Tamandua tetradactyla: one gene and its partner. Each later gene encodes a partner of the first gene's protein in a complex. Links are inferred from orthologs where the notes say so. Each region holds a gene or a part of one and is shown in the gene's direction. Other genes may lie near its edges. The genes, in order: USP39 and LSM6.

Evidence for each region.
Region 2: USP39 (region 1) and LSM6 share a complex: the UniProt entries of both Homo sapiens proteins name them as parts of the U4/U6-U5 tri-snRNP complex. The link is inferred for Tamandua tetradactyla from reciprocal best matches to the Homo sapiens genes USP39 and LSM6.

Annotation. Positions count from the first base shown.
Region 1 is NC_135343.1:59,907,686-59,923,854, forward strand, and holds the start of USP39 (ubiquitin carboxyl-terminal hydrolase 39), read left to right. Parts: upstream 1-9,193; 5' UTR 9,194-9,241; coding exon 9,242-9,515; intron 9,516-11,558; coding exon 11,559-11,628; intron 11,629-12,933; coding exon 12,934-13,028; intron 13,029-13,988; coding exon 13,989-14,125; intron 14,126-15,499; coding exon 15,500-15,652; intron 15,653-16,169. Other genes in the region: C17H2orf68 (UPF0561 protein C2orf68 homolog), read right to left, coding at 4,454-4,576, 4,929-5,080, 5,949-6,067, 6,145-6,251.
Region 2 is NC_135348.1:21,881,954-21,898,064, reverse strand, and holds the start of LSM6 (U6 snRNA-associated Sm-like protein LSm6), read left to right. Parts: upstream 1-9,123; 5' UTR 9,124-9,251; intron 9,252-9,285; exon of another isoform or gene 9,286-9,560; intron 9,561-9,772; exon of another isoform or gene 9,773-9,897; intron 9,898-10,761; exon of another isoform or gene 10,762-10,865; intron 10,866-16,044; exon of another isoform or gene 16,045-16,080; intron 16,081-16,111. UniProt on the Homo sapiens protein: Plays a role in pre-mRNA splicing as component of the U4/U6-U5 tri-snRNP complex that is involved in spliceosome assembly, and as component of the precatalytic spliceosome (spliceosome B complex).

The DNA of each region.
Region 1 (16,169 bases):
CTGGCTGAATGGACCAATGGGGGAGAACATCCAGAATACCTTTTGCCGACCCTGATCTGTGCCTCTAGACTAGAGGATACCTCTTTCCACTTCACACCAAGGCACCACCTTCCCTCCAGCTGCGTTTCATTGGCGCAGGCCTTTCTCTCACCTGTCTAACAGGGCTGTGCACCCTCAGCACTTCCTACTTCATCAGGAGATTCATAATTTACGTAACACCTACTGACCATCTCCTCTTGAGCCATTACCACAGCCAAGGTCTGTGAGAACTACTAAGGTTTTAAACTGGCTGTCCTGACATGGCAGTGGGTAAGACATGGCTCCAGGGCTGTGACAAGGAGGCAGAGTTTGGCTTATCATGACAATATAAGTGGTCCCTAAAATAGAATTACCCCAAGACAGTGCTCCTTTGCACAGAAGGGCTCTTAATACGTAGGTAGTAGTGGGCAAACCCATATGAGTTAAGGGGGACCAGGTATCTTTAAAGGTTCCTTTGAACTCTAATGTCATGTGAGTCTAGTTATGCTCCAACCAGGGCAGCTCTTAAAATATTCATGTGTGAATAAAACTTAAAAAAAAAAAAACTGGAGGAAAAAATTAAGCACTAAATAACATGATTCTTCCTACAGGGGTTAAAAAAAATCAGGCCAAGCATGAAATGAGATTTCCATGCCCTGATTCCGTGGTACTGAATGACTTTAGGGCACACATCACTTCCCTTACTGATGCAAGTGATTTTACATCTTCCCTTATGGACACAAGTGATTTTACAACTCTTGGCAAAGACAGTGCTGTAAAAATAGTAAGTTTATTAGTTAAAAAACAAACTGTATTTGAAAAGTATCTTCCTTCAAATAATTTGCATATTTTTATTCATCCAAGTAGCAGAAACACTGGAAGAGAAAAACCAGAAGAAAGCATGGCTTTTTATACATTTAACACCACAACATCACCAGTGCCACCAGTCTCCCATTATGTTGGTTCTAAGAAAGCAGAGGAGCCATTCACTTGGCTTTCCCTTCTAGCATCACTCCAACTCCGGGGGAAATTTGGGGTGGGTGCTTATGGCTTCTTGCACATCTGATTCTGGGTGTTTAGGGACAAGAACTCAACAAGGGAACTCAAAATGTTTCAAATAATTGTTACCATTCCATGGTGATTCTACAAAGAGAAGGCTTAGAGGTAGGAAAGTAACATTTTTATTCCTTTTTCTACATGCAAAGGCCTCATTTAGATTTTGTGAATCAGCTGGGGATTCACTGCCCATCATCCATGGATCCTGCCCAGTACACAGCAAGGTGAATACTCCCCACCCCAAAGGGTTTCTTCCGGCCAGTATGGGCTAATCTCAGTTAGCAGTGCCCCTCAGAGTGGACCATGGAGATGGAAATTTCTTAGAAATTCTTACTGGGAAAGCATTTGTTATCGCCCACGTTGGTTCTACTGGCTGGATGCACTCCAGAGGCTCCTACTCAGTACAAAAAGCTTTACATTCTTCTCTTCCTTTCTTGCATTAAGTTCCTGAAAGATTCCCATGCTTGCCAACTGGCTAGGACTTAAGCTTTAGTGTTTATTCTTGCATAGACCAAAGCCCCTAAAAAACCCACCCATTTCCTTCTATTTGAAACATAACCCACTGTGGCCCAGGAAACACAAAGCCTTAAAATTCGAGGGTTACCTTCAGTAAGAGCACTCCATTTTGGATGGCATGAGATACGTTTATCAGGCTACCAGACTTTTTTTTGAAAGCTAAGAATGAATCTAGTCAAATGAATGTTGAGTCTGAAGCAGCCCACTGGAAAGTTCACTCAGTCCAACACTGTTGCCACTGCACCACAGAGAGGGTTGGTCCTCTTTGGGACGCCTCTAGAGCCTGTGGGAAACATTTTGGAACACACTCTGGATGGCAAAGCACCAATTTTCCAAATTGCTGAATGATGAATGGAAACAAGTCTGGTGAATAAACTGAAAAGTACCATCTTGAACTCCAGATGACGGGTGGCAATAAACAATGAAGCTGAACTACAAGGCCATAAGCTGGCTCCAAGGACCATGTCCAGACAGGCATTTCAGGCACATCTGAAGTAATAGCAGCATCATTCAAATGTGTGTGTACATCTCCAGTGGGCCAGCAACCTCTCATTTTAGTACCAGCCTTAGTGTTGTATGTAAACACTGCATAAATTAGTCACACATTAGAATGTTTTCTTGTATGGAAAATATTTGTGACATACTCCATAAGCAAAATGGCCCAAGAAAAAAGTTTAAAAGCAAGGTGTTCCCATCCGTCTCCTACTGAGAGGGTCTTTGTGAGGATCACAGGACAAACAAAAAAGAACAAAGAAGTTTCACACTAAACGCTGCCTTCTTCCTTTCTCATAAAACAGGAAGCTAAGGTTTCAGGTGCCATCCCCCCAACTCCTCTTCTGAGCTTGTCAGTTCTAAATAAAATAAAACCAGGAAATAGGAGATCCAGATGTGAGCACACAGACCCAAAAAGCATTTCCAGATTAGGAAACTTATCTAAGAGGTCCAGTGAAATCCTATGTTCCAAGTCATAAGATCAGTTAAGAGCTGGAGGACTAAAATTACTGGTCTTCCGACTTGCAGGAAGAATACGGGTGGAGTTTGGCAGGGCCTCCTTGACTCAGGAGGCATTGAAGGATACTTAATACTGTTGTCAAAAGGCACTTCCAGGCCAGCTGAATAAGTAGAGGGCAAAGACCTTCCTGTGAAAGGAGAACTGAGCCCAAGACTGGTAAATTTAAGGCATTTAGCCTTGGACTAGCTTCCTGGGTTAGAGGCACTCTGGTCCCTGGCCAACTTTGCCACTAGGCCCTTCTTATTCACTTCACTCACCTTCCCAGCATCCTTCTGGCACTGCAAGCTGTGGCTTAGTGATTTTAAATGGTGTAATTAAAGTAGTTCCTTACCCCATTTTGGTGGGTATAGTGCACAAACCAGCATTACCCTCAGGTGTCCTTTGGGGAAAAGCTGCTGAGAGAGATAAGACCAGATTGATCTTGAACCTCTGATGTGGAAAACTCCTGGGGCAGTGGGCTTTGATTTTTGTAAGTCTCAGTGCCTCATGGGCTCATGTAAACCTCACATTTCAAGTCACTGAGGTTAGGCCAACTTGCTGGAAAACTGAAGTAACGCTAAACCTCAGTGCGCAGCATGTCTTATGTTCTTCTCAGACCTTAACCTAACCCAGCATTAGGAAAAATGTTCATGAGATGGAAGCAGTTATATTCCTGGGAATCTTTATTCCAAGGATCTCAGTTTATATACTTAGGAGGTAGGAACTGAGAAAGCATGGAGCAGGAGATGGGGCAGAGGGCAGAGGCTTGTTTCACTTCCTTTGGGACACTGGTCAGGACTTTTTGCAATTAGAGCTCCCAACAGGCAATTATTGCTTATGTTAAGTTTCCCTTTCTGTTTTGTGTATGTTTAAGACTGCTAAACCACATTTGGAGAGTCAGTTTCAAAATTGTTTAGATAATCCCCCTTTACTCTGAGCAGAGGATAGTCTATTCCCCGATAGGGATAAGGTTAAAAGCTAGAATTCTGCAGCCCTAACCAAGGCAGTTTTCCTGCAAGAGATCCTTGCAATTCAGCTCTGGCATCTTCTTTCTAGGTCTCCTATCTAGACAGCACAAGGCATGGGGCATGTGAGAAACTTGCCAAAGCCATGGAAAAGGAGGAAGACAGCTTGCAAGTACGCCTCAAATACGAAGGGTCTCCCACTTTATTGGCAGCCGTTACCTGGCGAGCTCATGAGTAAGTAGATTCTCAGAACTCCCTATGTGCAAAGCCCTGAGCGGCTGGAAGTGCAACAACATTCATAAGGTTCCTGTATGACTGATATCCTGAGGGCAGTCACATGAGGGCGGGCGTTCATATGAGGGTCGCGGGGTGGAAGGAGAATTGATGGAGTCTACCTGAGGCAGATGGATGGGTTGAAGGAAAGAACAAAGAAATAGAGCTGAGAAAAAGAGCTAGGAAAACATGACACTGGATGGAAGTGAGCAGGAACATGCACAAAAAAGGAACCATAAAATAACATAGCTCATGGAGCTGGGGGGGGAGCAGCAGTGGCCATGTGTCCCATAGCATAAGACCTCAATGAGAAAGCTTCATAAACCCCAGCTCTGCCTGGAGTCTCTGCTTCTAAAACACCAAGCTAGGTGAACAGTTCTTGAAAAATTCCAGAATATTAGGCTGGTCAAATGGACCAACACACAGGAAAGAATGGCTGCAAGGAAGTTGGCTAGGTGTAGTCCTGCAGCACCCTTCTTCTGTGGATGGAGCAGCTGTGAAGTTGGATGGGGTGGTGGGTTTCAAAGTCAGCAAAGACTGGTTCTAGCACACCCAAACTAGGGGTGAGCTCCCTGGGCAGAATTATTTTGAATGCTGTAGCGAATCCAGCTTGGAGAGAATGTGTTCAACCTGGTCAGTGGCGGCTCTGGCGCTTTGCAATCTCCTCTTTGATACGCAACTTGAGGGCCTCTCGCATGGGTGGCTCCAGAGGCGTGTGGGTTGACACCTCCTCACTCACCCTTTCTGGATCATCATCCTACATGGAGGAAGAGTCAGGAAGCTCAGAGCTGGGCGTCTTCTGCAAAGGCGACCTGCCCTGACCCTAGACAATACTGGCTAACAGCTTCATGCTGGCTCTGGTCATTTCCCAGGTATTTCCTGTAATAGTAATTCTCAATGGGTGGTAGTGAGCCCTCCCTGTTCCCCACCAAGTATCACCTTATGATGGGAGTGACCTGTGCTAGTAAAGCATCACTGGCAGTCCTATGCTCCCACATGGAGCAGACATTTCCCACTGGCCCTGAGGAAAACACTGGCTCAGGGTCTGGCAGTGATTTCTACTATGGCCCAGGACCTTCAGGCTGCAGCTGTTTCCACATGAGGCATACCTGATACACGATAACTGATGTGACCTCTCCGCTGTCCGCCTCATATTCTAAGCAGAAGAGCTGATGCCCAGACGGCTCCATCTCAGAGCCACCACTACTGCTGCTTTCACTGGACTCCTCATAATCTGGGTTGCTTGGGCGGGTAGAGCCATCTGGAGGGATGAACCAGAGTGAGAGGAAGGGGGGAGGGCTGCTAGAGCCCTTGCCCATAAAGACCATGCATTAAAACATACTGTACAGAAAAACCTAGTCTTCTGAGGTGCCCAAAAGTGTGTATGTGTAGTGTGCTGCCAATCAGAAGTGATGTTATTAATATACCTCCCACCTCCTTGGAGGCTAGCACCCCGACATATTTCAGATGCACAATACACATGTCTGGTGAATAGGGGTGGAAGGTAGTGGAGGAGAAGAGGATAGAGAAGCCTCTGGAGCCACTCTGCCTGGGTTCAAATGCAGGTTCTGCCATTTACTATCTCTGAAATCTCAAGGCAAGTTACCTAACCTTTCCCTGCCACAGTTTCCTGCGAAACAGAAAGGATAAGAATTTCTATTCTGGAGTCCTTTAAAGACTAAAGGGGTTGGCATACATACAAGCTGAAAGCATCGAAAAGAAGCAGGGGGGAAAAGCCATTTGCTGCATTTGGGCGACATTCCACAATTGGGCCCTGAGCGCTTCTATCTGTGCCAGGCTTTCTCACCACCAGGTATAGAGGATAAAAAGGCACAATAAGGCCGGACAAACCGACAGATAACTTCTCGCCGGCTTCTATCGTTTCCCAGACATCGCCCGTAACAGTGATTCTTAACTGGGGGCCGTGAGCCCCGCCTGTTGCCCTAGGGGGGTCACTGAGCGGAGCGGGAGCACTGTGGCGGACGTTCCGGGAAGGGACCAGGCGAACTGAGCCTCGGGGGTCGAGAACTGGCTTTTTCCACACCGAGAAGGGGAGTGCGTCGCAGGCGGCAGGTCCCCGGCGGCGCGCGCGGCTGAAAGTAGCCAGCTGGCGGGGCAGGCGGCCTCACCTCGGCGTCGCGGCAGATACACCTGCAGGTCGGGCTTGCGGGGCCGCGTGGGCGCCGGCGTGTGCCGCCTCCTCACCTTCTCCTTGGCCGCCTGCTTCACCTTCTTGTCGTAGTCGTCCCTGCGGGGAGCCGAGCGAGAGTCAGGGACGGCCGAGCAGGCCAGGGCCGGGGACAGCGGTGCGGAGCGGGGCGGTACCGGGCGAGCTGGTTCCGTCGGATGTGGTGTACGAAGCCGTGGCTCATGTCCAGCCGCCCGCCAGGCTTGCAGCAGAGCCCCGGCCCGGGGTCCGGCGCCGCATCCATCTGGAGCCCCGCGCGGCGATCCGCAGTCTCCTCAACAGCCCCAACGGCCGCCCCCACCTCCGCCGGGAGAGGCCCGCCGCGGCCCTCGCTTGCCTTCAGGCTCTGAGACGTGACTTCCGGTCGCGGGAGGCCCGTGGGGCCGAACGTCGCCGTGCGCGGAGTTTGGGGGTGGGGGTGGCGCGCGGTGAGGGCCGCGCTGCTTGGCCTTGTTTTCTCGTTTGTAAGCGGGGCCGCGGTGGGTGAGGACCAGTGCCCGGGAAGCCCCTTCCGCAGCCCGCCCAGCACGCCTCGGCGTGGAGGGAGGAGCCAGGGTGTCAGTGGGGTACAGTCCAAGTCTCTTGATGCACCCAGTAACATACCTGAATGACAGGTGAAAAAGGAGCACATAGTATATAACTCCATTTAGGCAAAACTCTAGGAAATACAAGCTATGCAGCAGATCAGTGGTCAGGGAAGGAAACTCCCTGGTGGGTAGGAAGTTCTGTCCTGCCTTCTTAAAAAATATTTTTATTGAGAAATATCCATACATATACAGTCCAATCATATTATACAATCAGTGACTCACAATATCATCACATAGTTGTGTATTCTTCACCATGATCATTTTTAGAACATTTCCATCACTTCAGAAAAAGAAAAAAAAAGAGCTCATACATCCCCGTACCCTTTACCCCTCCCTCTCATTGACCCACAGCCTTCCTTCCTTCCTTCCTTTCTCTTATCTGAGTAAAGTGTATTGAAAAAAATGTTTTTATTGATAAATCTTTACACACATACATTCCACAATCAGTGGCTCACAATATCATCACATAGTTGTGTATTCATCACCATGATCATTTTTTTCAGATAGTAAAGTTCTTAAATTCTAACTTAGATACTATTAGATCAGCTGTTAAAATTGTGAATGTTCTCAAAATATCAAGTCGAAAGTTTTACAAATAACCATGATTCATTTTTAGAACATTTGCATCATTCCAGAAAAAAACAATTAAAGACAAAATTCATAGTGCCATGCCCCTCCCTTTCATTGACCACTAGCATTTTCATGCACCCAATTTATTCTACCCTTTGTCCCACCATTATTTATTTATTTATTTCCATATATTTTTTTACTCATATGTCCATACCCTGGATAAAAGGAGCAACAGACACAAGGTTTTCACAATCACACAGTCACATTGTAAAAGTTATATTGTTACACAATCATCTTCGAGAATCAAGGCTACTGGAACACAGCTCAACAGTTTCAGATACTTCCCTCCAGCCACTCCAATACACCATGAACTAAAAAGGGATATCCATATAAACGCATACTCTAAGATAACTTCTCAACTCTGTTTGAAATCTCTCAGCCATTGAAACTTTATTTTGACTCCTTTTTTCTCTTTCCCCCTTTTGATCAAGAAGGCTTTCTCAATCCCTTGATGCTGGGTCCCGAATCATCCAGGGATTTCTATCCCATGTTGCCAGGTAGATTTACACCCCTGGGAGTCATGCCCCACATAGAGGGAAGGGCAGTGAGTTCATTTGCCAAGTTGGCTTCGAGAGAGAGGCCACAACTGAGCAACAAAATATGTTCTCTGCCCATGATTCTTAGATTTAATTTTAAGTAGGCTTAGCCTATCCTTTATAGGAATAAATTTCATAAGGGCGAACCGCAAGATTAAGGGCTCAATGTATTCATTTTGTTGTCCCCACTGCTTGCGAGAATATTAGAAATTCTCCAAATACGGGAAGTTGAATATTTCCTCCCTTCTCCCTGGTCCCCCAAGGCAACCTTGCAAATATTTCTTTATTCTCTGCCCACATTACTCCGGGATATGTTGGACACCACACTAGCCTCAGCAGACCAACAAGATCTCATGCCATATTCAAGATTCCATGTACTTAGACCCACAGTATTTCTTTTTTTTTAAAATTTATTTATTAATTAAAAAAATAAAATAACATACATAATCAGTAATTCACAATATCATCACTTAGTTGCATATTCATCATTTCTTAGAACATTTGCATTAATACAGAAAAAGAAATAAAAAGACATTAGAAAAAGAAATAAAACGAACACAGGAAAGAAAAGAAAAGATTATACCTACCATACCCCTTACCCCTTGCTTTCATTCATCACTAGCATTTAAACTAAATTTATTTTAGCATTTATTCCCCCTATTATTTATTTTTATTCCATCTGTTCTACTCCTTTGTTGACAAGGTAGATAAAAGGAGCATCAGACACAAGGTTTTCACAATCACACAGTCACATTGTTACAGCTGTATCATTATTCAATCATCCTCAAGAAACATGGCTACTGGAACACAGCTCTACAATTTCAGGCAGTTCCCTCCAGCCTCTCTATTACATCTTGAAAAACAAGATGATATCTACTTGATGCATAAGAATAACCTCCAGGATAACCTCTCGATTCTGTTTGGAATCTCTCAGCCATTGACACTTTGTCTCATTTCCCTCTTCCCCCTTTTGGTCAAGAAGGTTTTCTCAATCCCTTGATGCTAAGTCTCAGCTCATAGACACACAGTATTTCAATCTATTTAATTTTTATCATTTATCTCCCCCTATTATTTATTTATTTTTAATCTTTTTTTTTTCCTTTTTTTCTCATCTGTCTATACCCTGCACAGGGTTTTCACATTCACACAGTCATATTGTAAAAGCTATATAGCTATCCGGTCTTCTCATATTGTAAAAGCTATGTAGATATACGGTCTTCTTCAACAACAGTCCTGCCTTTTTAAGACAGAAATTAAGGGCAGAGTTGCAGTGGGCCTGCATGTCGTCCTGGGTGCGCGCGCAGCGCCTACACCGCCAGAAAATTTCAGCACTTCTCACGAGTTTCCTGCAGCGCGGTTTGGCCCCATCGCCCACCCGTAGAGGGCTTCGGACTCGGTCACAGCTGCCCTCCTGATTGGCCGGGTGCCGCAAGCGCCAGTACTCCTGGCGCCTGCGCGGGGCGGTGAGGCCCGTTGCAACGATGTCCGGCCGGTCCAAGCGGGAGTCTCGGGGTTCCGCCCGCGGGAAGCGCGAGTCCGATTCGCGGAGCAGCTCGGGGCGGGTCAAGCGGGAGCGAGATCGGGAGCGGGAGCGGGAGCCTGAGGTGGCGAGCTCCCGAGGCAGTCCGGTGCGCGTGAAGCGGGAGGCCGAGCCGGCGAGCGCGCGGGAGGCCCCGACTCCGGCAGTCCCTGTCGTGCGGGTGAAGCGGGAGCGTGAGGCTGACGAGGACTCGGAACCCGAGCGGGAGGTGCGAGGTGCGCGGGGCCGGGTGTGGGCCCTACCCTCGCGCCGCCCTCGCTTTCTGCACCTTTCCCCGGTGCTCCTCCCGGGGAGAAAACCCAGGTTCCCTGGGTGTTGCCTCTCTAACTCGACTGTCTTTTAGTGCGAAAGCACTAACCTTAAGGCTAGCCGTCGTTATAATATTTCTCATACTAACATGGACAGCAGTTTCCCTTTATCGTGGGCTACGCGCTGTGTTAATTACTTCGTAGGTCTTATTTTTCTCTGATTTTCACAACAACCCCGAAGTATGGACCCTGCAGTAATTTCTGGAATCCGATCAGTGTCGAAAGCCGGTACTCTGGGCCCTGCTCCGCCATGCCCCGTTCTCCGGGGTTGTCGCTGCTAGGGGAGCTGAATTCTAGATCTGCCTCTAAAACCGAGTTGCTGTGGTTTGAACAAAAGAGTTTCACGTGTCTATCGGTCTGTCAATTAGTGGAAGTAGTCCTGGAAGCAGTGACCGTTGAGGACTCTTCTAACAATGTCTAATGAGTCTGTGACTCCCATCCATGAGTGTCCCTTTTGCCTCCTATTGCGAGCCACTTTCTCCTTCCCTTACACTTCTGAGAAGGATGAGTTCCTGCAGACCTCATCTGCGATGTGTGGATTTGTCTTGAGTGCTTTCTTCTGCTTGTTGAACTCCTGCCAATCATTAAGTAGATTTTCACCACTTCTGAAGCTTTTCCTGCTCTCCCTAACTTCATCATCCTTACCTTCGCTGACTTTGTACTCTGATTTCAACATATTCCTATATACTTACATTCTGCTGAATTAGTAGGAGCCTGAGGAAGTAGCAGGTGAATGTACGGCTAGGCAACGTGCTAGGGGTGGGTTGCTGAGGGTGGAGTCTTTTTCTCCAAGATTTTGTAATTCTGCTGTGGTCCTGACTATCCATATGATTAAACTGTAACATTAGCTCTTAAGTTCCTTAACTTAGTGTCGGTTGTATTTTTGTATTATGTTCAAAGTCCAGAATAGCACCTTGTTTATAGAAAGTACTTGGTAAATATTCTTTGAATTATCTAATGCATAATTTTAGGGTACTGTCTGATTTCCTTTATTAAATCCTCTCTCAGACCCAGGTTTTCTCTTCCTGGGAATGGAAATGGTTTCTCAGTTATTTCACCTCGTTGTGGTGAGATTGTTTTCTCAGGGACATGCTAAGGATCCCTGTTAGTGTTACTGTCTTGTCTTTTTTTCTCCCTTTAACTTTTATTTTTATCTTGGGGTATATCACCGGAATTAAGACTGAATATAATGTACAAGTATGGTTTAAAGAACAACATGAATGTACATCTTTAAATCTTTCACTTGTTAAGAACTGTGAAAGGTCTAAGATTTTCCCTGTCTGCGAGCTAATTTGTTTCATGGATGCCAATGGAGGACATGAGATTCATGGTTGGAGATGAAGAACAGTTTGTTACAGTAATAGCAGTAGCCAGACTGTTAGCATTTGTGTCAGCTTCCATGGAGCAGTATGAAGAGGTCTGAGTGGCACCCTTAAGCACAGTGGGTTGCTTTACGGAATTGAAGCCTGTACTTAAAGAACGTGTATATTTTATAATGGGCAGTGAATGTCCCTGCCCTTTTCCCTCTTAGGGAGATACTATCTCTGCCTCCCCAGGCCGGGACGTCATTGTGCAAGGAAACTTACAGATCTTTGATTATTGACGAAGTTGAACATCTTTTCACATGTTTGTGGCCTGTAGTCCTCTTTTAAGAAATACCTTTTCATGTCTTTGACTCACTTTTCCGTTGGGTTTTTGTCTTTTTCCTATTGATTCGTGGATTTTTTAATGTAATTTGCAGGCTAATCCTTTGTTGGTTATATGGGTTCTAAACACATTCTCCCAGTTTGTGGCTTGTGCCATTAATGGGCTTTTCTGGGTGTCATGAGGCTGCCTGTTTAGGAACTCATCTTGATTAGCTTACTCCATTTCTGTTTCTTTGCTTCCACTCGTAGTTAACTCTCAGTACAGGTTCCCATTTTCAAAGCCCTGTGGTTGTTTCCTTTCTAGCAAAGAATGGCCGTGTGGATTCTGAGGATCGGAGGAGCCGCCACTGCCCTTACCTGGACACCATTAACAGGTCAGTAGGACAGGGATGCTGAAGGTAGCAAAAAGATCCACCCAATCTCTGCAGAAAGGTCTTTGAGCTGTATATCGCACACCATTTCATAAATGTTCCCCTCTAAAGTTTTCTTTATTTTTCTAAAGCCCAGAAAATTGTGCTTCTTGCCATTATTAACCTTTATCTTTCATTGTGAACGGTTAGGTGCATGTTGTAGGACAGGAACGTTATTTGAGGGTGGGCACATGCATAAAGAACCTTGAGTTCATTTTGAATTTGCATGTTGCAATAATGGGAAACAGTGTCCTTCAAACAACAGTGGTAAAATGAAGTATTTATGAGCGCTCACTGTGTTCCAGGAACTAGGTTAGGTGCCTGGGATTCAGCTCAGAAAAAAATGTTTATCCTAAAGCAGAGGTATTTATCTCGTCATGGCATCCTTTCCTCTGAGCCCAGATGGCATCTGAGAATGCTGCTCGGCCAGTTCTTGAGGGAAGTGCTGTGCATTAGGACCTTGTGCACCCGTGGGATTGTTCTGAGGGCCGGGCTCTGTAACTGTGGCAGGCACAGGCCGCATGTGGGTATTGAACTCTTGGAAGGTGACTTGTTTAACTAAGGAACTGAATTTTAAATTTAATTCAATTTTCATTTTTTTACATTTCAATATAAATAGCCACAGGTGGCTAGTGAAGCCTTTATTAGACAGCTCAGCTCTGTAAAATTATTATAATTAATTGAGGGGGATACTTCAGAAGACATCCCTTTGCCACCATGGTTTCAGGGAAGATAAAGTTTTTTGTCCCTTCCCTGCTCAGTCCTCATGTATCATTACTTTGTACTTATGTGGATAGATCAGTTTGTTGGTATTACCCTAAAAATCTTTTGGCTCCCTGTTTATTTTTATGGACCGTAATAATTTTTTTTTCATAAGAGGGATTTGTTCACAGTTTTTATATCTTTCTACCCTTGGTCTTTTAATTCGGAATGCTGTTGAGGTCCTGCTACTTAGTCTAGTTCTTACAGTTTTTCCTCCAGAGAAAGTGAGTAGGTGGAAGATCCTTGAACAGTTATACGTATCAGTTAGTGAACAAGGGGGTCCTTGGGGTTGTGTGTGGTTGAGACACCTGAGTCCGCTTTGGGGCATTGTGGCTGGAGGTGCCACTTAACATCAAGGCGGCAATAGTTAGTGCTCCCTACAGCTTATAGCCAGTTGTTGAAGCGTTCTCTGCAGGGTGCTAGTTGACACTGGCAAGCACTGCATCGGTTGGGTGGCCTCCTAGATATCCATCCCTATTGTTTTTTCTTTTGTTTTGTTTCTTTTAGGAGTGTGCTCGATTTTGACTTTGAAAAACTGTGCTCCATCTCCCTCTCGCATATCAATGCATATGCCTGTCTGGTGTGCGGCAAGTACTTTCAGGGTAAATAAATGTTGCGTGTGATATGATAGACACGTAGAGTTTTCAGCACTAGCCACAGATCTTTGGAGAGTTTTTAGAAAGTAAGCTGCTATCAAGAGTCATGTCGAATAATCCCTAATCATATCTAATGATTTGTCCCCAGAAAATCAGAATACTTTTAGAAAACCAACAGGAGATTCTCTGATTGGTTTAGAATCTGAATATATCTGAAAGGGTATCTTATTTTCAGAGAACTTATTATTCCAGCTTATTCAGACCAAGCAAATGTTCATAGTAGAGTGGAGGATTCAAAAGAAATATAAACTACTTTCTTTGTTCTTAAAAGGGGTGAAGGTTAACACATAAAACAATCAGCAAACTCCCTCAGCCCTTAAAGATTGCTCCTAGTCTGTGTGCTAGTGAATATAAATAAGGGCAGTAGGAGCTGACAAAAGGAAAGGTTAATTTTGGCTGGAGTGTTTCTGTTGAGTTCGTGGAGAAGGTGGGGCTTGAACTGGCACGATATGTAGGGTTTGAATGGATGAAAGGGGAGAGCTTCTAAAAAGCAGTGGCAATGTGAATAAAGGTACCATAGGTGCAGGATTGGCCCTCATGTGGGCAGTTGGAAATTTAGGATTGAGTGGTGACATACTGTCACAGGCTCTGTTTGTGTGTGCATGCATACATGTGCAGATTTAAGTATGTATATATAGTATGTACATGAGTATTTCCAATTCTAATTAATAAATGTGGAACTAATTTGTGAATATTTCACACTGTGTATATGAAGTTAGTTTCCCCAAACGATAGCTTATATATTCTTTCTTGCTTAATTTGTGATGAGAGAAGTTCATGTGGGAGATTCATTTCAGGGGTGGCATAATATTTTGTTTTGCTGATACTAACATGTTCCAGTACAAAACAATGACAGGAAAGTTGTCTCTGCTTTGCACTTAACAGCCTTTTCATCCTTCCCTGCAGGCCGGGGTTTGAAGTCTCATGCCTATATTCACAGTGTCCAGTTCAGCCACCACGTCTTTCTCAACCTCCACACCCTCAAGTTTTACTGCCTTCCAGACAACTATGAGATCATTGACTCCTCATTGGAGGATATCACGGTCTGTGTCTATGCGAGCTGGTTTGAGGGCATTTCTCTTGGGAGCCATTCTGGGGCTCCCTGCGATCTTTCCCACCCTGAGATCAGGGAAGAATTTCAGCCCCCTAGGGTTTGGAGAGGCTTTTTTCACTTTGGAAGGAACAGGGGAAACCGAGTAAGGAAGTCAGGAATCTTATGTCTGGCTGATGGTCTGCCACCTAGCCATCACTTCTGCTTTTTAATAATTAGTTGAAGGCTGGGGATGAAAAGATACGGCTAATTTCTAATCAAAGTAATAAATTATCTGTCTACACTTTGGAGTAGAAATATGAATTGAACCGTGTGTAGGAGAGAGTACACTGAGCTGTGTACCAGTTCCTGGCAACTTTTGACTTATGATTTGACCAGAACAGCCAACATGTTAAATCTGTGGGTTTTGGTTTGGGTCCTGTGCCAAGAGTCCCTTGCTGTCCTTACATGGATGCATGTAAAGTCCTCCTGGGTGGTAATTAATGATGGAGTTGTTACTTATGATCTCCCTTCCCAGCAAATGGCTGTATATTCATTGTGCTGAATATTCTGTTTTAAGAGAAAGCTGTGTGTTCAGAGTTTTGGAAGCACTGCTAATGCTACTTTATTTTTGTTTACTTATGCTACTTTTATAGCATTTTTATGTATTTATTTTTTGGGCATGGGCAGGCACTGGGAATTGAACCCAGGGGTCTGTGGCATGGCAGGCTAGAACTCTGCCTGCTGAGCCACTGTGGCCCACCCTACTTGTACTACTTTTAAAAGTTGTTCAGGCCTCTTAATAATTGAGGTTAAATTAACATAATTAGGGACAGTGTTTATGGAGGGGGAAACTGAAATAAATTTGAGGTTTCAAAGCAAGTTAGTTATGATCTGTGTCCAGCCCATCATCTGTTTGAATGGTCCATGTAGCTCTGTGACTGGCAAGATTCTGATCCCACACCTCCAGTTGTGGGGGGTCCTGGAATTCCTCAGTCCTGCTCAGAGGTGAGGGGGCACGCCTTTTCCTGAGCCTGGAACATTTGTTGGCTCCATGAGGCCACACCTGAGCCTTAGACTCCTGCTGCCTTCAGGGACTTGCGTGTCCTCCATTTTCAGGCAGGCATTTATCACGGGCTCGGTCAGGCTTGAGGTCTGAGGAAAGACCTGTGAGTTAGTGATTTTGGATTAAATGCGGATTCCCCTTCTAGACCAGTTGTGTGGGGAGGACTTACCCCATCTTACCTGGTCTTTAGACCTATATTGGGTGTGTGCTCAGACATTCATGACCAGATTGTTTTTGTCAGAAGTTGCTGTTCTAGTCATACATTGTGAACTCAGTTTATGTAAAGCCCTCCAACAATTCAGAATTTTCTTTTGTTTGTAGTATGTATTGAAGCCTACTTTCACCAAGCAGCAAATTGCAAATTTGGATAAGCAAGCCAAGTTGTCCCGGGCATATGATGGTACCACTTACCTGCCAGGCATCGTGGGACTGAATAACATAAAGGCCAATGACTATGCCAATGCTGTCCTTCAGGTAGGATTGGGAAGAGAGTCACCTGGGGACAGTGTGCAGGGTGGCTAAGGAACTGCTGCCTTCTGGGTACAGCTACTTGGTCTCCAGAGACCACGGCCTGCTAAGGGCTCTCCTTGAGTATTTGCAACAAGCAGAGCATGCCTGGGTCTGCTTACGGGGTTGCTGCCAGCTGAGGAGGCCTTTCTCCAGGCTTCCAGCCTCTGCAGCTTCCTGGGGAGAGAGGGCTAGAACCTGGGTCTTGTCTGGCAGTACCAAAACGAATCTCTTGATATGCTAGATATGTATATATATTTTAATGGTGCAGATATTTATTGTGCTGGCTGTCAGTTGTCTCATTCCTGGCCCTGTGCTTATATCCCAGAATGAGAAGGGCAGAAAGCCAAAGCTGTCCTGTTTTCAAAGTTTTTATTGTTGTTGTTGTTAAGTTATTCAAGTCATCAGTGCACATTGTAGCAAACTTAGGGAATGTTGGTAAGCATGAGTAAGAAAGTTAGCGATAATTCCACTTCACAAAGTT
Region 2 (16,111 bases), on another chromosome or scaffold:
TGTCATTAGTAAAGGTAACCTCTTGTTGGTGCCTTAATTTGGACATTTTTATAGACTTGCTTTAATTGAGACATTTTCACAGCCTTAGAACTGTAAACTTGCAACTTAATAAATTCCCCCCTTTTAATGTCATTCTGTTTCTGGTATATTGCATTCCGGCAGCTAGCAAACTAGAACAATTATAATTGAAAGAACATGGCTTTTCTGGGGTACACAAAAGTTTCAAACCAGAACACCAGTTCTTTATAGAAACTTTACTCCTAGTTTCTCTTCCAATGGACCTTCTTTTTGTCCTGTATCTTATCTGATAGCCACATTCCTCTCAGACTGAGAGATGAATGAGTAAGATGGCCTGCCTAATGATTCCCACAGTTTTAATGAGTCTTGTAGATCCTTGCCTGGTGCAATGTCCGCTTTAGTACTGGCACTGGTCATGAAAATGGTTAGAGGATGGGGATAATCCCTGTGCCAGTTTGGCTCAGCAGCTGTGCCCAGGCAAAATTTTCTCTCTTTCTAATGTAGCATTTTGTGCAGGTTCATGTGAAGTTCAGGCCATCACATATTGTTAATTAATACTTTTAAATTATCTGAGCACCGTTGGACCAACAGAATGTTGTCAATGGTTTAGGAATGAAAGAACTTCAAGGGTGGAAAGACGCCATTGCATGGAGTTTAGCCAAAGCTTTCTCTGCTCCAGCTAGTGGAGACTTATAAAATATTATTCTTTAAAGTACCTTCACATTAACCCAAGAAAAGAAAAATTATTTTCCTTTCTATTTTGAAAGAGCAAATCTTTTTCTCTAAAATAGATTCCTTCAGAATCCCTTTTCCTCTTGATTTTTGAATTTTTTTAAATATTTGGACTAGTGCATTTTTCTTACAACAAATTATACTGGGAAAACCTCTTTTATTTTTTTGGGGGGGGGGTGAGAGGAAGTCTGTTACTTTGTAAACTGCCCAGAATGCAGTTTACTTGTAATATATTACAAGTTTATAGTTCTAAACCTATAAAAATATCCAAACTAAGGCATCCAGGGAAAGATAACTTAATTCAAGGAAGGCCAATGGGTCTGGAACAGCTCTGTCAGCTTGGTAGTTATGTGACTGGCATCTGCTGGTCCCTTGCTACTGAACTCCATGGCTTTCAGCCTCTCTTCCTATGGGGGTTCCTCACTTTGCTTCTCTGGTGCCTAACTTCATCTCTTGGCTTCCCTTGGCTCTCTCCAGGCTCTGTTTTGCTTAACATGTCATGTCAATGTCTGCTGGGCTCCAAGCATCTCCAGAGATCCCTGTCTCTGTTCTCCAATGTCGGCATCTGTGTCAGCTCTGCTTTGAAGTTTCATCAACTCTGTTGTTTCTGACTCTCTCCAAAATCTTTCCTCTTTTAAAGGATTTCAGTAAACTAATCAAGACCCACCTGGAATGGGTAGAGTCATACCTCCACCTAATCAAAAGGTAGGGAGTGGGCCACATTTTAGATTAGGTAATCTAATCAAAAGTTTCCACACTACAGTATTGGATCATAATTAAAAGAAATTGCTGCTCCCACAAGAGGATTAAAACGTGGATTTTCTGGGGTACATAATACTTTCAAACTGGCACATTCCACCCTCTGGATTCCCAAAAAGGCATGTTTTATCAATATACAAAATATATTCACTATATCAGGAAACCCTTAAACTATTTCAGCAACAGTACAAATACACTATAAAGTTAAAACAACTACAAAATTTCATCAGCCTATTACAGGCATGGTCTGTTCTAAGGCAAAAATTCTCTATAAAACTCAGGACAAGTTATCTTCTGCCAATATACAAAGAAGGAAGAGTCAAAGGATACATGTTTCCATTTCCATAGGGAGAAACCGGAAAGAACACAGGAGTCACTGGACCCATACAGTTCCTAAAACCTGCAGGGCAAACTCCATTGGATTGGATTTCATTAGATTTCAAAGTCTGAGAGTCATTTATCCTTGGGCCTTTAGAAAGTGGCAGTCCCATCTTTTCCAAGGGCCTAATCATTGGCTTTGCTCTCTCCAGACACTGGAGTGGTTGCAATCTTGGGGGACAATGGGGAGATCACCTATTCTCAGCTCCACCCTCTCCAAGCTTCAGGTTAGCACCCAGGATCTCAGCCATCTCTGGAGCACATGCTTTACCCCTCTCCCAGAACAATGGGATGGCAGCCAGGCCCTCCCCCCTCCCTGGTTTATGTGCTGCAACCTCTCCAAGGTGTGGGGTTGCACAACTCTTCCTGAGCAATGAAGTTGAAGGCCCACCCTCTGCTCCTGGGGCAAACTCACCCTCTCTACATATATGGCTAGGTCTGCGCTCCTGGCCCAAGATTTCTTGCTTCAGACCTTAGCTTCCATAGTTCTGCCTCTGAAGTTATTTTTCCTCCAGTTTGTCCCTTTTCTGTCCCTTTCAGTTCAGACTGACAGTGGCTCTGTCTATACAGATCCCACAACACTCTTACTAGTTTTTTATGCAGTATGCTGGGGATCATGCCCATCAAGCAAAAGGACTTCCCACAAATCCTTCCTGGATAACTCTATCTCCAGTCCTGGCTTTCCCAGAAATGGCTGACTGGTTCCATATTTGGTTAGATCCTGTCATGGGCTACCATTCTCTGGGGTCTCCCTTTCTGGAAGCCCAGAATTTTCCAAACGATCAATTTCTAGTTTCTTTATACCCAAGAGCTCAGTTCTCAGCTTATCTCTTTCCTGTCGCATTTCACTACAAGCTGCAAAGAGAAACCAGGCCGTACTTTCCACATTTAATTTGGAAATCTCCTCAGCTAAGTATCCTAGGTTGTCACCTTTTAATTCTAACTTCCATCCAACAGCAGTACACAATTCTGCAAGATTCTGTGCCACTTTAAAATAAGGGCCACCTTTTTTCCAGTTTGCAATTGCACATTCCTTAATTCTGTCTAAAGCATCATCAGAGGTATCTTTAGAGCCCACATTTCTAGCAGTATCTTTAAAGCACTTCTTTATTAAGCTCCTCACTGTTCTTCCAAAATCTTCTCCTTATCCATTTAAAAAACTATCCCAACATGGTTGGTATTTGCAAATGGAAGCAGCACCCCACTTCTCCAGTACCAAAATCTGTTTCAGTTGGCAAGCTGAGGGAATGTGATATAGCAGAAAAGGAATGGCTTTTTCTAAAGGCAATTTAATAAGTTACAAGTTTATAGTTCTAAGGCCATAGAAATGTCCAAATTAAGGCACCAATAAGAGGCTACATTAACGCCAAAGAAAGGGCCAATGATGTTTGGGCTTTCTCTCTCAGCTGGGAAGTCACACTGGTCCCTTGCTCCTAGGCTCTGTTGCTTTCAGCCTCTGTTCCTGTGGGGGTTCCAAAATTTGCTTTTCCAGGGCTGGCTTTCATCTCTTGGCTTCCCTTGGATCTCCCCAGGTTCTGGCTTGCTTAACATCTCATGGCAACATCTGCTGTGCTCCAAACATCCCTGTCTCTGTTCTCCAAGTGTTAGCATCTGTGCCAGCTCTGCTCCAAAGTTTCTGTTGGCTCTGTCATTTCTGATTCTCTCCAAAATGTTTTTCCTCTTTTAAAGGATTCCAGTAAACTAATCAAGACCCACCTGGAGTGGGTGTAGTCACCTCTCCATCTAATGAAAAGATCACACCCACAATTGCGTGTGCCACATCTCCATGGAGATAATCTAATAGAAAGTTTCCAACCTACAGTGTTGAATGAGGATCCAAAGAAACAGTTGCTTCCATAACATTGGATTAGGATTGAAATATGGATTTTCTGGGGTACATAATACTTTCAAACCAGCACAGGGTAGGGGAAGGGGGACGGAGTGAGTGGTAGAATCCATAAGACTCTAATATTCCCTAATATGTAATTAGGGAGTAATTTATATGCTGCAGGTGGAACCAAGAAGTCTTTTGTCTAGTTAAGAAATGGAAAGTTAAATTTCAGTGAGGGTTCTGAGATCTTTGCTGTTCCCGAATAGGAATGGATTCAAAAAGTAAAATTTGGGCTCTAAATCAGTTTGGGACACCTGATTAGTGATAAATGTTTATTAATTAATTCTGTGATTGAGATTGGTGGGGATAAGGTTCAAGAACTGTTGAGATTCTGAATTCTCTAAAGTCCACATCAAGGACTTCATTTTCTCTTATTTTAGTTAATATATGTTCATTCTGTGGCACTCAGAGGGTCTTATTCTGGGACCACCTGTGGAGTCATTTATTCATTCATTTAGTCATTTATTTATCCATTTATAGTTAGGAGCACCTTTTTGCCAAGCACTAAGCAAATTTACAACACTTAAAAACGGAGCAAGTTGCTATTTGGACAGAATGTTAGGATAGATACTAATCTAGCAAATGTCTACACAGATTATTCATGATCTCACCCACTCAGTATGAATAAAGGAATACTAACAATACCAGTATCCTTTCCCGGCCCCTGGTGAAATTGGAAATAATGTTTGTCCTCCCCATGTTCTGTGTACTCTGCAATCTGTTTGTTTCAATTCTTCAGCATAAATCATTTAGAAGTCTTTGTTTCTCCTTCTCATAAAAGGCAGTCAGGATTCATCTTGATTGTATTTGTATAGGAAGACCTTCAAGAGAAGAGAGTATTATTCTTTTCTCTTGTTGCAACTTATAAAGTGATCTGTCAGTTCCCCAAATTCTTTTGGGGAGACGTGTGAAATGAGAACAGTGTTGTATTTTTGGGTGTGCGTGACCGTCTAGAAACGTGTCCAGATATTGCTGCAGGTTTTGGCACAACAGAACCAGCTATATTCTTTGCTCCTGAGAGTTTTTGGAGACAACAGATGTGCTTCTTAGTGCAGGAGCTTCAGTGACTGAAGAAACATCCATTTATTCTGACATTAGAGAGAAAAGCCAATTACTTAAGAAAATAATTGAGATGAAAGAGCATGTGCTAACATATTGGTAATTTTCAGCTACGTGATGTTCACTAATCCAGAATTACGAAAACTGATTTCCAATGCTGAAAGTTACTAAGAACTAGCATGTGGTCTGGAAATTTTGCATTCTGCCTGGATGAATCTCTAAAACTGTTCTTGAGCTTGAGCCTGCCGGTTTATAATACGCTGCATTTTAACTACACCACTGGGCTGGTAAAAGAAATCTTTAGACCAAAAAAGCATATGGATTTGATATCACCCTGGAAAATCAAGGACATCTGTTTGGTTGTTTTTTGTTTTTTGCTATAAACATTTTTTTGAATGCCTAAACATAAAGCACTGGTCCAATTCATTAATATTCCACAACGAATTTAGTTATAATATGCTCTGATTAAATTAGTTGTGGTTACCAGCCTTTGTGTAGTTGAAAAAAATTAAAAGCTATATATTATCTTATTTCATTGGAAGAAACATTAAAATATTTTGAAAATTGAAAGCCGTATTTTAAATAAACTTGGTAGCAGGTATGTTAGCCACAGAAATCTCTTAAAGACATAGAAATGCATTTTTAAAAGTTAAAGACTCCCATACCTTGGAAATAAGTTGCTGACATCTGAAATATTCCTAAATTTTTACATACTGTGCTTTATATACATTGGCCACACAGTTCCAATGAGTTTCACTGTGGTAGAATTAGCATTACTGAAATAAATGCACTTCACTGAGAGCTGAACAGCAAGCTTACATACTACAGATTTCCACATAAACTATAATTCATAAAGGCCAATCCAAGTCTTTTCTTTGTAGCGGGTAACCATTTATGTTTGAGGTGAAGATGTTAATATGGAAATTTTGTGAGCTAGGAAAGAAGATGAACGCTATCATTCTAATTTATGACCTTTCATATAGGGCAAATGTAAAGGCAACTTCAATTGTTTTATATCTCAGTGCCGGCACACGGCAGATGTATGAAATTTGGAGTGTTAGATATAAACTTTTATTACCAAATTATAAATAATTTCTCCCACTTATAATGTTCACCTTTCAAGTTCATCTTGTTGAAAACACAAGGGCAGCTTCACACAGATTTCGTTAAATTATACAGCTGAGAGAGGTTTTCTAGAGTTCACAGTAGAATGTAAAGCATTTCAGCGTTTGGCAGACTTTCCTTCCAGGAGCTCAGACCCAGAGTCCATCGCCTTCGAAGTTAAACTCAGACCAAAAGGATGGATTGATGAAATTCGAACATGTGTTTACACATCTCAAATGTTCTAGCTTAAAATAATTGCCTATGCTATCGAATAAATCTGTGGTAGACTGAATTATGTTCCCCAACGAACATATGTTCTTAATCTTAATCTGCATGCATGTGAGTGTGAACGCATGTAAGCAGGACCCCTTGAAGATACTATTTTTAGTTAAGGTGTAGCCCAGTCGAATGAGGGTGGGTCTTAAATCTGGATTCATGGAGGCTTTATAAAGAGAGAACCACAGTAAGGAGCCCAAAGCAGGAAATTTGCAGGAACCCAGAAGATAAAGAAGGACATTGCCATGTGACAGGAGGCAGAGATGTAAACCAAGGAACCCCCAGGTGCAGGCAAGCCAGCATAAAAATCGTACCAAAGTGGGAGGAAGCAAGTCTTCTAGCCTCCAAAACTGCAAGACAATAAATTCTGTTCATTTAAGCCAAACTTTTGTGTGGTATTTGTCACAGCAGTTTGGCAAACTATGACATATTCCTTCTTTTGGTAAAAATAAAAGGCTTATTGCTTTTTCTGAGAAATTTGTCCACCAGTCAACAAGTTTAGATCACTTCTCAGAAGATATTCTGCAGTTATAGAATGTCTTTCTTCTCATTTCCTTTAACAAATTATTTTCACATCCCATGATGAAAGGTAGGTAAGAGTGGCCTAAAATACCCAAAACCAGGATGTCATAGCTTTCATGTTTTTATGTCCAGTGTTGAAAGGTCAAGGAAGGGAGGCTCTACCCCTGTCAGCTCTTCAGAACAGTTAATGCACTGCTCAGGCAAGAGCAACTAGTGTTCATCGAATGCCTAACACTGATGCAACATTTTAAAACCTGCTTTGGGAATGTGACCAATCCAATTCCATGTTTGTGTTTATTATCTTTACCCACATCAGCATCATAGTACAATCACCCACACGTTCTCCGGGCTGTTGGGTGTTTTATAAGACAAGCTAAAAATGATACTTTCTGTTTCTGTTTCTGAATCTGAAACATAAATGGAGATAGTTACTTGAAGGCAAAGGTATGAAAACTTGTAGAAATGTGCAATAAATAATGAAATGGCTGAGTTCATTTTAGTATTTTTATACTAGTATTTGCCTGTTTTAAGAATAACAGATTATGTTTGAAATGCTGTTCTCGTTACAAAGCATTTTTGTATATGTTTTCTTTCTCATTCAATCATTTCATTATTCTAGGGTAAAAAAATTAACTTTTATTTCCTCCGTTTTAAGATTTTAAAAAAAGCCTTAGATAAGTTTAATTACTGGACCAAGAAAGATTTTTACAATTAGAAGTGGAGGAGGCAGAATTCATATATTACGATTTCTGATGTCATGATCTTAACGATTTTTAGTTCATTGGATAGAAACTTATATAGAGGCAATGATAAACTTAGCCAAACTAAGCTGTGCCACACTGTTTTTATGACTTTAGGGCTTCTTAATAAGTTAGTATTTATGTTCAGGTTTCAAAGACCAGTTCTTGGTAGTAAACCAGAAAAATCCCACATATATTCTCTTTGTAAAATATATGATGTTGAAGGAAAAAATAGTGAAATACTGAAAGTTGCCTCGTGAGTTAGTAAAAACCAATTTTAAGCTGGTGAGGGGATTCTGAGGACAATCATATTTTTGATAAGCTTTGGTGGTACATGAAGTAATTCATGTTAGTGCCCCTTGAAAAAGGTTGCCGCTGCCCTGTAGATGAACTATGCTCTAAAAATTCCTCACCACCCCCAGTCCTCCACATCAATCTACTGCTTCCACCAGGGCTCTGTGGAAACCGAGGGAAAAATCTATGAATCAAAATTTAAGAAAACAATCAGTGAGGAATGTGGGACAATCTGATGTCTTTTGCAAAGAAGGATTTTAGGGACAGAGCTTTATATTCTATTATGTTTGTTCTTTGCAGCTAATTACTTGATTTTAATAGTACTTTTCTTTAAAAAAAATTTAAATTTACATTATATTTTATATTGCAAGAACTTCAAATAGAGCTCTCTCAATTAATCTGTAATTGCTTGGTCTTGACCCAAACCACTCTTTTAGAGAAGGGTTTAAGGAAGTCTGCTCTTTGCTAAATCACCCCCAGTTGTTCTCTGTTCACAAGATCAGTCAACTGCTCACTTCTTCACCTTTCAGCTAAGAGAGGCTTACAAGGAGTGTATGTGTGTGTAAGGGGGGATACTCACTTTTGTCTTTAAAAAAATCTGCATATTATATCCTATAACATTTAACAGATTTAAGATCTGTTGTTTAAAGGTAGCACTTTGTTTATAGTGTTACAACTCATAAGGAAGATTAAAGTCTATCTTGATGAGGGTATGTGTGTAAGGAAAAAAGGAATTCAATGTTGGTGTAACAGCTGTCTCCCTTTTCCTCTGCTGTTTCACTAATAGCAAGAATACCGAGAATTCATGCAAAATTCCAAACCAGGTTCCCATAGCAGCACTTAAATAATGTCCGCACAGCATTTCCAATTAGAATTACTGTTTGTAATGTAACACAATTTATGCCATTACAATATAGTTACTTACTAACGAATTATTTTAGTTTCAATTAACATTGCTATGGAATTGCTAATAATGAGTTTGTTTTCACACATTTAAATCAAAATCCAAAGATGGATTTAAAGATTTGAGGCTCCTTTTCATTTGTTTATTTTCATGAGATTATTCAGCGACATTTCTGGGTATGCCCCGACATACCTTAGCAGTAAATTCCAGTTTCCTGACTTCACGCTATTTCTTATATTTCTGCAAAGAAATCCTGTCACTTCCAGTTCTTTATTTGCTTGGGTTTTTTAGTTTGGTTGTTAATACTGTTTTAGGCTTTCCGTTAAAAGAAAGATCACCACCGCCTCCGACTTGAACCCGGCGGCAAGATCTCGGCAAACCGAGGTTCTATAATTTGCGCGCGCGGGCCAGGACCGGCCTTTTCGGTCCTCACGGGCTGCCGTAGCTGGAGGAAGCACTGATTGGCTGGGGCGGAAAGTGCCGCTGCTTCGGCGGTTTCAGCTTTCGCGGCGGTTGTCGGCGGAGGCCGGGCGTGCGCGCCGCCAGGAGTAAGGTGCTAGATCCCGGCCGCGAGGTGAGCGGGGTGGCCGCGCGGGTGTGCGGTCGCGCGGTCTGAAGGCGAGGCCGCGCGTAGTCCCGGGTTCGAGGGCCAGGGTTCTCTCTCCCCAGCTAGGCCCGGGAAGGGCCTGGCGGTAGCGGGATTAGGGACCCGGAGAGGGACAGCGGGCCCCGGACACTGCCGGGGGGTCGGTCCCTGCGGGACGCCGCGCCCCTTGGCTCTCTTCGGCGCCTGGAATGGCCGGGAGATGTCTGGTTGTCGGCGTTGAGGTTCCTGAGCTCCCTGGAACCCTTTCCCCAGAGCTGCCTGGAACCGGGAGGCGTGGTGAGGAAGGGCACTTTCCTGGCTGCCTTGACTTTGCTTGTGAGACCTCTCCCGGTTGTCGAAGTCTCACCGGATCCCGGGACGCTCCCCGGGGATTCGGCGGGAAAACGGATCCTGAACACAGGCCCAGGCTTTGCCTGGTTCCCAGGGCAGCAGGGAATCACGGGTACTCCACTGAAATCGGACTAGCTGCTCAAATCGGACTAGCTGCTCCTGACTCCCAGGAATTAAGGAGTGGACCTCCCCGCTCCAGCCCACCTTCCCGAGTTGTCGGATGGGGGATATCCCTAATCGTATGGAGTCGAGTTCTATTACCGGAGACTTTCTGTGTGTACGGGTGCGTGCACGCGTGCATAGCAAGTGTTTTACTTCGGGGTATCCAGGATTAGAGTGATGCAGATAATGTTGATAGTGATTTAGTGTGCCTCCTCCTCCCCATAATAATACATGACTATTGTAGAAAAACGGAAAATGCAGAGGACTTCAGTGAAGAAAATAATATTCACTGAGTTCTTCCACCCACAGTCCATGTATGTATTTTATTTATGGATTTGTTTCTACTTGAGTTAAGACTATACCTATTTTTTCCGTACTTAACAGTATATACAGTTTTCTATTTATATTTGTAAATTCTTACTAAATAATTGTCTTAATTCTGTATTTTCTTCTGATTGCTTATTCCATCATTGTGTAGGTCTCATAAATTATTCATCCATTTTCTTACTGTGGGGCATTTAGGTCGTTTCTGAGTTTTTGCCTTATTTTAACGTCCCAGATTATACTTTGGTGAGCCTCTCTTTTTAACTGTGTATCTGATTATTCCCTCGGACTAGATTCTCAGGAGTAGAGTTACTAGATCAGATGATGTGGACATTTTAAAGAGTCTTCATATAGATTGCCAAATTGTTTTCAAAAAAAGTTTGAGTAGTTTACATCATCCATGCGTGAATGTTCCCGCTTCACCAAAAGTATGGTCGCTTGAAACATTTCTAACACATCAACCAGGAAAGTTGAGCCTCTCTTTTGAATGATTTTTTTCATGGTGGTGTCTGGTAATTCTGCTTATTTGAATTTTGTGCAAGAATCATACAGAAGCTTGCATATGTGTGTGTGTACTATTGGCGTTATGGCATAAGCTAACCAAATGTTAGAGCAGGAAGAGACTTAAGTGACCATCTAGCATAACTCCCTTATTTTCCAGGTGAGGAACCTGGGGCCATGAGAGGTGAAAGGATGAGTTATCCAATTCACACAGCTAATTAAGTAGCAGAGATGGAATTAGAACTCAGGTTTCCTGCCTCCCAAGTGAGTACTCTTTTTGCTGCATCAGGCTTCTCTCACTGTGGCATAATAGGTATTAGAATTTAAAAAGACATTATGTCACCTGGGTTATTTTATCAGTTTAGAATTGTACAACAAAGATAACCATCAGAGGGACCTGTAACACTGAAAAATTGGGAAGTGACCTTTTTCATGGCCGGGACTAAAATCCATGATAACAAATGGCAACCCCTTGAAGATTTTGACAATTGTTTTCAAATTCTCTGTGTTTTGGAATAAAATGTCCCTAATAAGTTATAATTTATACCCCATCATTTGGTTAGAACTTATTGGTTTTTATTAGTTATAACCTGAAGAATTAAAAAGAACTCCTTGTTGCTTTAAGACCAGGAACAGTGTTGGCATCATGATTATTATCATTTTTAGGCTTATAGCAGGGTTTCTCAACCTCAGTTGACATTTTGGGCTGTTTAATTCTTTGTTGTGGAGGCTGTCATGTATATTGTAGAATGTGTAGCAACATCCCTGGCCCCTACCCACTCAGCCACTCGAAACCAGTAGGACCACCCTCCCTAGTCATTACAATAAAAAATGCCTCTAGACTTTTCCAGATTTCCCTGGGTGAGAGTGGGAGGTGCAGAATTGCCTTCTCATTGAGAGCTGCTTGTGTATAGGAATTATTTCGGGGAGATTTAGGAAATGAAAATTACAGTACCCCTTGCCTAAAGCACCTGGATAGGAGTAGGCCCCAGGACTCTGCATTTTAACAAGCATTTCTGTTGATTCTGATGCAGCTAGTTTTTGACCAACACAGAAACATTTCTATTTTCTCTCCACTATCTTTTCTCTTATTTGGTGGTCAGTAGTAGAGATATTACCACGTTAATAGCTTTTGAAATGTGTAGATGATACTGTACTACCCACTTTGCCCAAAGTGTGAGGGAAGAAGAGACAGGGGTTTTGCCTGGCATTGGCCTTGAGTGTCTTTTCCACAAATTTGGGAAGTGTCCCAAGGATATAGAATGGGTAAGGTATTTTCCTGGCCCCCAAGAAGCTTAGAACCTGCTGGTCAGCAATGAAAACAATTACAAAATCTGCTGGTGTGATCACAGGTAAGAAAGAAGTGCACTGACTCACTTGTGTTTTTGGAGAGAAGGAAAGGAAGTTGCTGGTTACCTTGGACAGAGGAGTGAATTAGTGTTGAGCCTTCCTATAAGCTTAGGTCCTCCGCTGTTTCAGAAGTTATTTAGAGAACTCTTTTTCTCATTGTCTGATGGTCTTCTCAGATGCTGAAAGATTAGTCCAACATCACATTTATTTGCATTGCAATATCATTTTTCCTTCCAATTTTTTTTTTTTTACTCTAAGCTGTAAATGTTATAGAATTAGGTTAAAGTTTATAAGGAGACATTGCCAGGAAGCAAGGGTTTTCATGTCTTTTGCTCAGTGTCATAGCTCAAAACCACATTAGTTATATTTCTTTCTGTTTGACTATTATATTTCTTCACAGGCTTATTTACAGTACTTTGTCACTTTTGGCATCTACCTTCCCGGCCCCCATTGCTTCTATACTCTACCTAGTTTTATCTCTGTCTCAGTGGCCATCCCTGGTCAGTGGAGTCTTGACATACTTAAAACAGCAGTTGTACCTTTGAAGGGGCATAGGCTATGGTGGGAGGGCGTCCAGCCTTAGTTCTGCTTACCACCTCATAGTGTTACTATGTGAATTGCTCATGCATCTAACATTGCCTGGCACAGTTGGATGAATAAAATTTGCCTTCCTCCCCCATTCTTTTACTTAAAAAGTCTCTGTAGAGCAGTTTGCAGATTGTCTAGTACTAGACCTGTCAGTAGCTTCTGACAGAAAGTATACTGTCTTTGACTTAATAAGTATTTATAAAAATAGGTAGTTTAAAACAAACCTGAGTAGGAGTCGGGAAGGAGAGGAAGCATAGAGATTGATTATAACTTCAATTTTGAAGGGAGTTTTACCAAGGTGACCCTGGAGAAAGGGGCTGTTTTTCCTTTTATGTGTTTATGGTTAAAGAATATTATCTCTTGTTTCAGAAATGGTCAGAACTGTTCCTTCTCCCTTATTCAGTTTAAAAGATGAAAACTTAAAATTACTTGAACCAAGTAGTGGGAAAAATTGTGGTGTCAGAACCAGTTTACTCATACAAAATGGATTTATGGGCAAGTCATTAAGTAACAAGGAGTACCAAGGAAGCCTAATCAAGAGTAATATAAAATATATGGCTCTCCAGTGAGGGATAAAATGTGTTTGAGGCAACCGTATTCTTTCCAAATAACTTTAAAAATATTTTTTTCAAGAGATTTAGCAGAATGTAGGTTTCTGGAGAAGATGTGAGAAAATTGGTATTGGTCCCTCTCAGGTGACATACAGTCTTTTGAGCAAGAAAAGACATATGCAAAAAGAGAATATAAGAAAAGGGGGTACGAGGGTAGTTCAGTGGTAGAATTCTCACCTGCCATGTGGGAGATCCAGGTTTGATTCCCAACCTATGCACTTCCCCAAAACAAACAAGCCAACAAAAACAAACAAACAAAATTTAACAAATGGTGCTGCAATAATGAGATACTCACATGGAAAAAGAATGAAAGTTACCCCGCCATATAGCATACAAAAAGAAAAAAGAGAGAGAGTAATAACATATATATCAAATACCAAAAAAAATGCTAAGCTCTTCAGTGCCAGAACTGAGATGGCCTGTCTCCACTCTACAATCTCATCCATAAAATAACCCAAACAAGTTTCTGTTTGAAACCCTCTCATGTTCCCTGTCATTAACAACAGTATTTCCAAATGTGCCAGTTCACAAGACCCTTATAGGTTTGTGCAAACAGATTCCTGGGTCCTGCCCCAGAACTACTGAATAAGAATCTTCAAGTGCCCAAATGATTGCAAATTTGGGAAAGGGACCTAGATGCTCAAGCCCAGGCTCTTTAGCCCGGCTTATGGTGTTCCCTTTCAGTGTGGCCCAGATCCCTCTGTGGCTGAGTCTCCTCCTTGCCTATGTAGCATTTTACCCTCAAATCCAAGTGCACTGTCCAGTGCCTTGGCTAAGACTTCTCTGCATTCCGCTGGTAGGCTCCTCCATGTCTTTCAAACTCAGTTCAGGAATCTTTCCATGATCTGCCAGCACTAGGCTAAGTGAATCTTCCCTGTGCTCTCAAAACACTGTGTACATAATTCTGTCCAGGTACATATCACTTTTATAAAATTCTCCATTTACGTTTTTTTTGGCTCCTCTCTGGAGGGACTCTGAGGGCCCAAAGCCATATGCTTTTTGTGTTATCTCCTCAGCACGTTAGGTACTCCATGTAAATTTGAAGCATTGAGCACCTTCTAGAAGAGATTGATGTTAATTAGAGTAAATCTGGACATTTAGTGAAAGACGTGATCATTGGTGAGCTTAGAACAGGTAGTATATGTGCTTTTAAAAAAGGTAGTGGAAAATAATATAGATAATATCTTTCTCTTAATCAATTGATAGTCAAGATTTGTAGTCTTCTTTATTGACTGTCATTCCCTTGTTACTTTGGACATGGTATTTAATATTATGCCTGTTAACTAGGTGATACATCTTAATGCATTTTATTGTTGTTTTTTTTTTTTAGGGAACACAAAATAAACAGCTATTTTACCTCAGTCTTTTTACATGAAGAAAGTGTGACCTAGTGGGGAAAATGAACCTGATACTCAAGAGTTGAGTTTCTTTATTAGACCTGCAGAGTTACTAGTCTCTCTAGAGCTGTTCATCTACAAAACAGCATGTGTTCAAAACATAAATAAACAATTAGTAGATGATTGGGAAGATTTGTTTGTTTTTGCCAGTCATTAAAGGTAGTTGTTTTAGTTTGCTAACGCTGCTAGAATGCAATATACCAGAAATGGAATAGCTTTTATAAAGGGACTTTATTGAGTTACAAGTTTATGGTTGTAGGGCTTTAAAAATGACTGAACTAAGGCATCCAGATAAAGATACCTTGACTCTGAGGAAAGGCCAAATGGCATCTGGGATTTCTCTGTCAGCTGGGAAGGCACATGGCTGGCGTCTGAGGTCCTAGCTCCCAGTTCGTTTCTCTGTGCTTCTGATTCTAGTCTCCGATCATCTGTGGTCCCTCACTTAGCTTCTCTGATTCGGTTTTTTCCAGATTCTGGCTTGCTTGGCATCTGGCTCGCTTGGCATGTCGGGGGAAGGCACATGGCAGTGCTGCTAGACTCCTATCCCAGCTTCTGATTTCACACGACTCTTGCAGCTCCTATGGGACCTTCTGGCATTTTCCTCAGCATCCCCAGTGTCTTTATCTGCTTTCTCCAAAATATTTCCCCTTTTAAAGGACTCCAGTAAACTAATTAAAGATCCATCTTGAATGGTGGAGTTACATCTCCATCTAATCAAAAGGTCACTCCCAGAACGGGGTGTGTCACATCTCCATGTAAACAATTTAATCAAAAGGCCACACCCTGCAATATTGGATCATGATTAAAAGAACATAGCTTTTCTAGGGTACATAAAAGTTTCAAACCAGCACAGTACTGAATCTGTTACAGTATTTACTTTGTAATTTTTCTCTTTGCAGGTGAATGAAATAGTTGTGTGGTGTGAGTCTTGAAGAAGTAGAAGTTGCAATTTTTAGGTATTGTTTGAGACTGTGTAGGTATAAAAATAAGCTAGCCACTCAGTGGAAAAGTTAAACTGCTGAGCAGACAATCAGTTGATCACATTTTGAAATAATCTTTCAAGCCTTGGAAGGGAAATATCCAAGTGACATAGCTTAAATTCAAGAATAGATTTTTAAATTTGTATTTCCTTCTATTTAGCAAGAGTTTAAATTCTGATAGATTCTAAGTTCTTTAAGGAAGACTCTAGGTAACATAGTTTTTAATTTTCTTGCACAGCATGTCTTACACATATTTGTTGAACTGATGAAAAACCTAGTACTTTAGTTTACCCAAACTGCTGAGCCTGCATTGATTTACTTTGAGAAAATCTCTAAACAACAACCCTAAACCCAAATTCAGATCATTGAGTGGATGGACTTGGGGTGAAATAGCAGATCTATTTATGGAAGAATGTATAATAAAACTTTGAAAGCAAATTTTAAAAAACTTGATTTCTTGAAGAGTCCTTAAAATATTGTATCCTTATTAGTTTTTGTTGTTGTTTTGCACGGGCAGGCTCCCGGAATTGAACCCAGGTCTCTGGCATGGCAGGTGAGAATTCTGCCACAGATATATTAGTTTT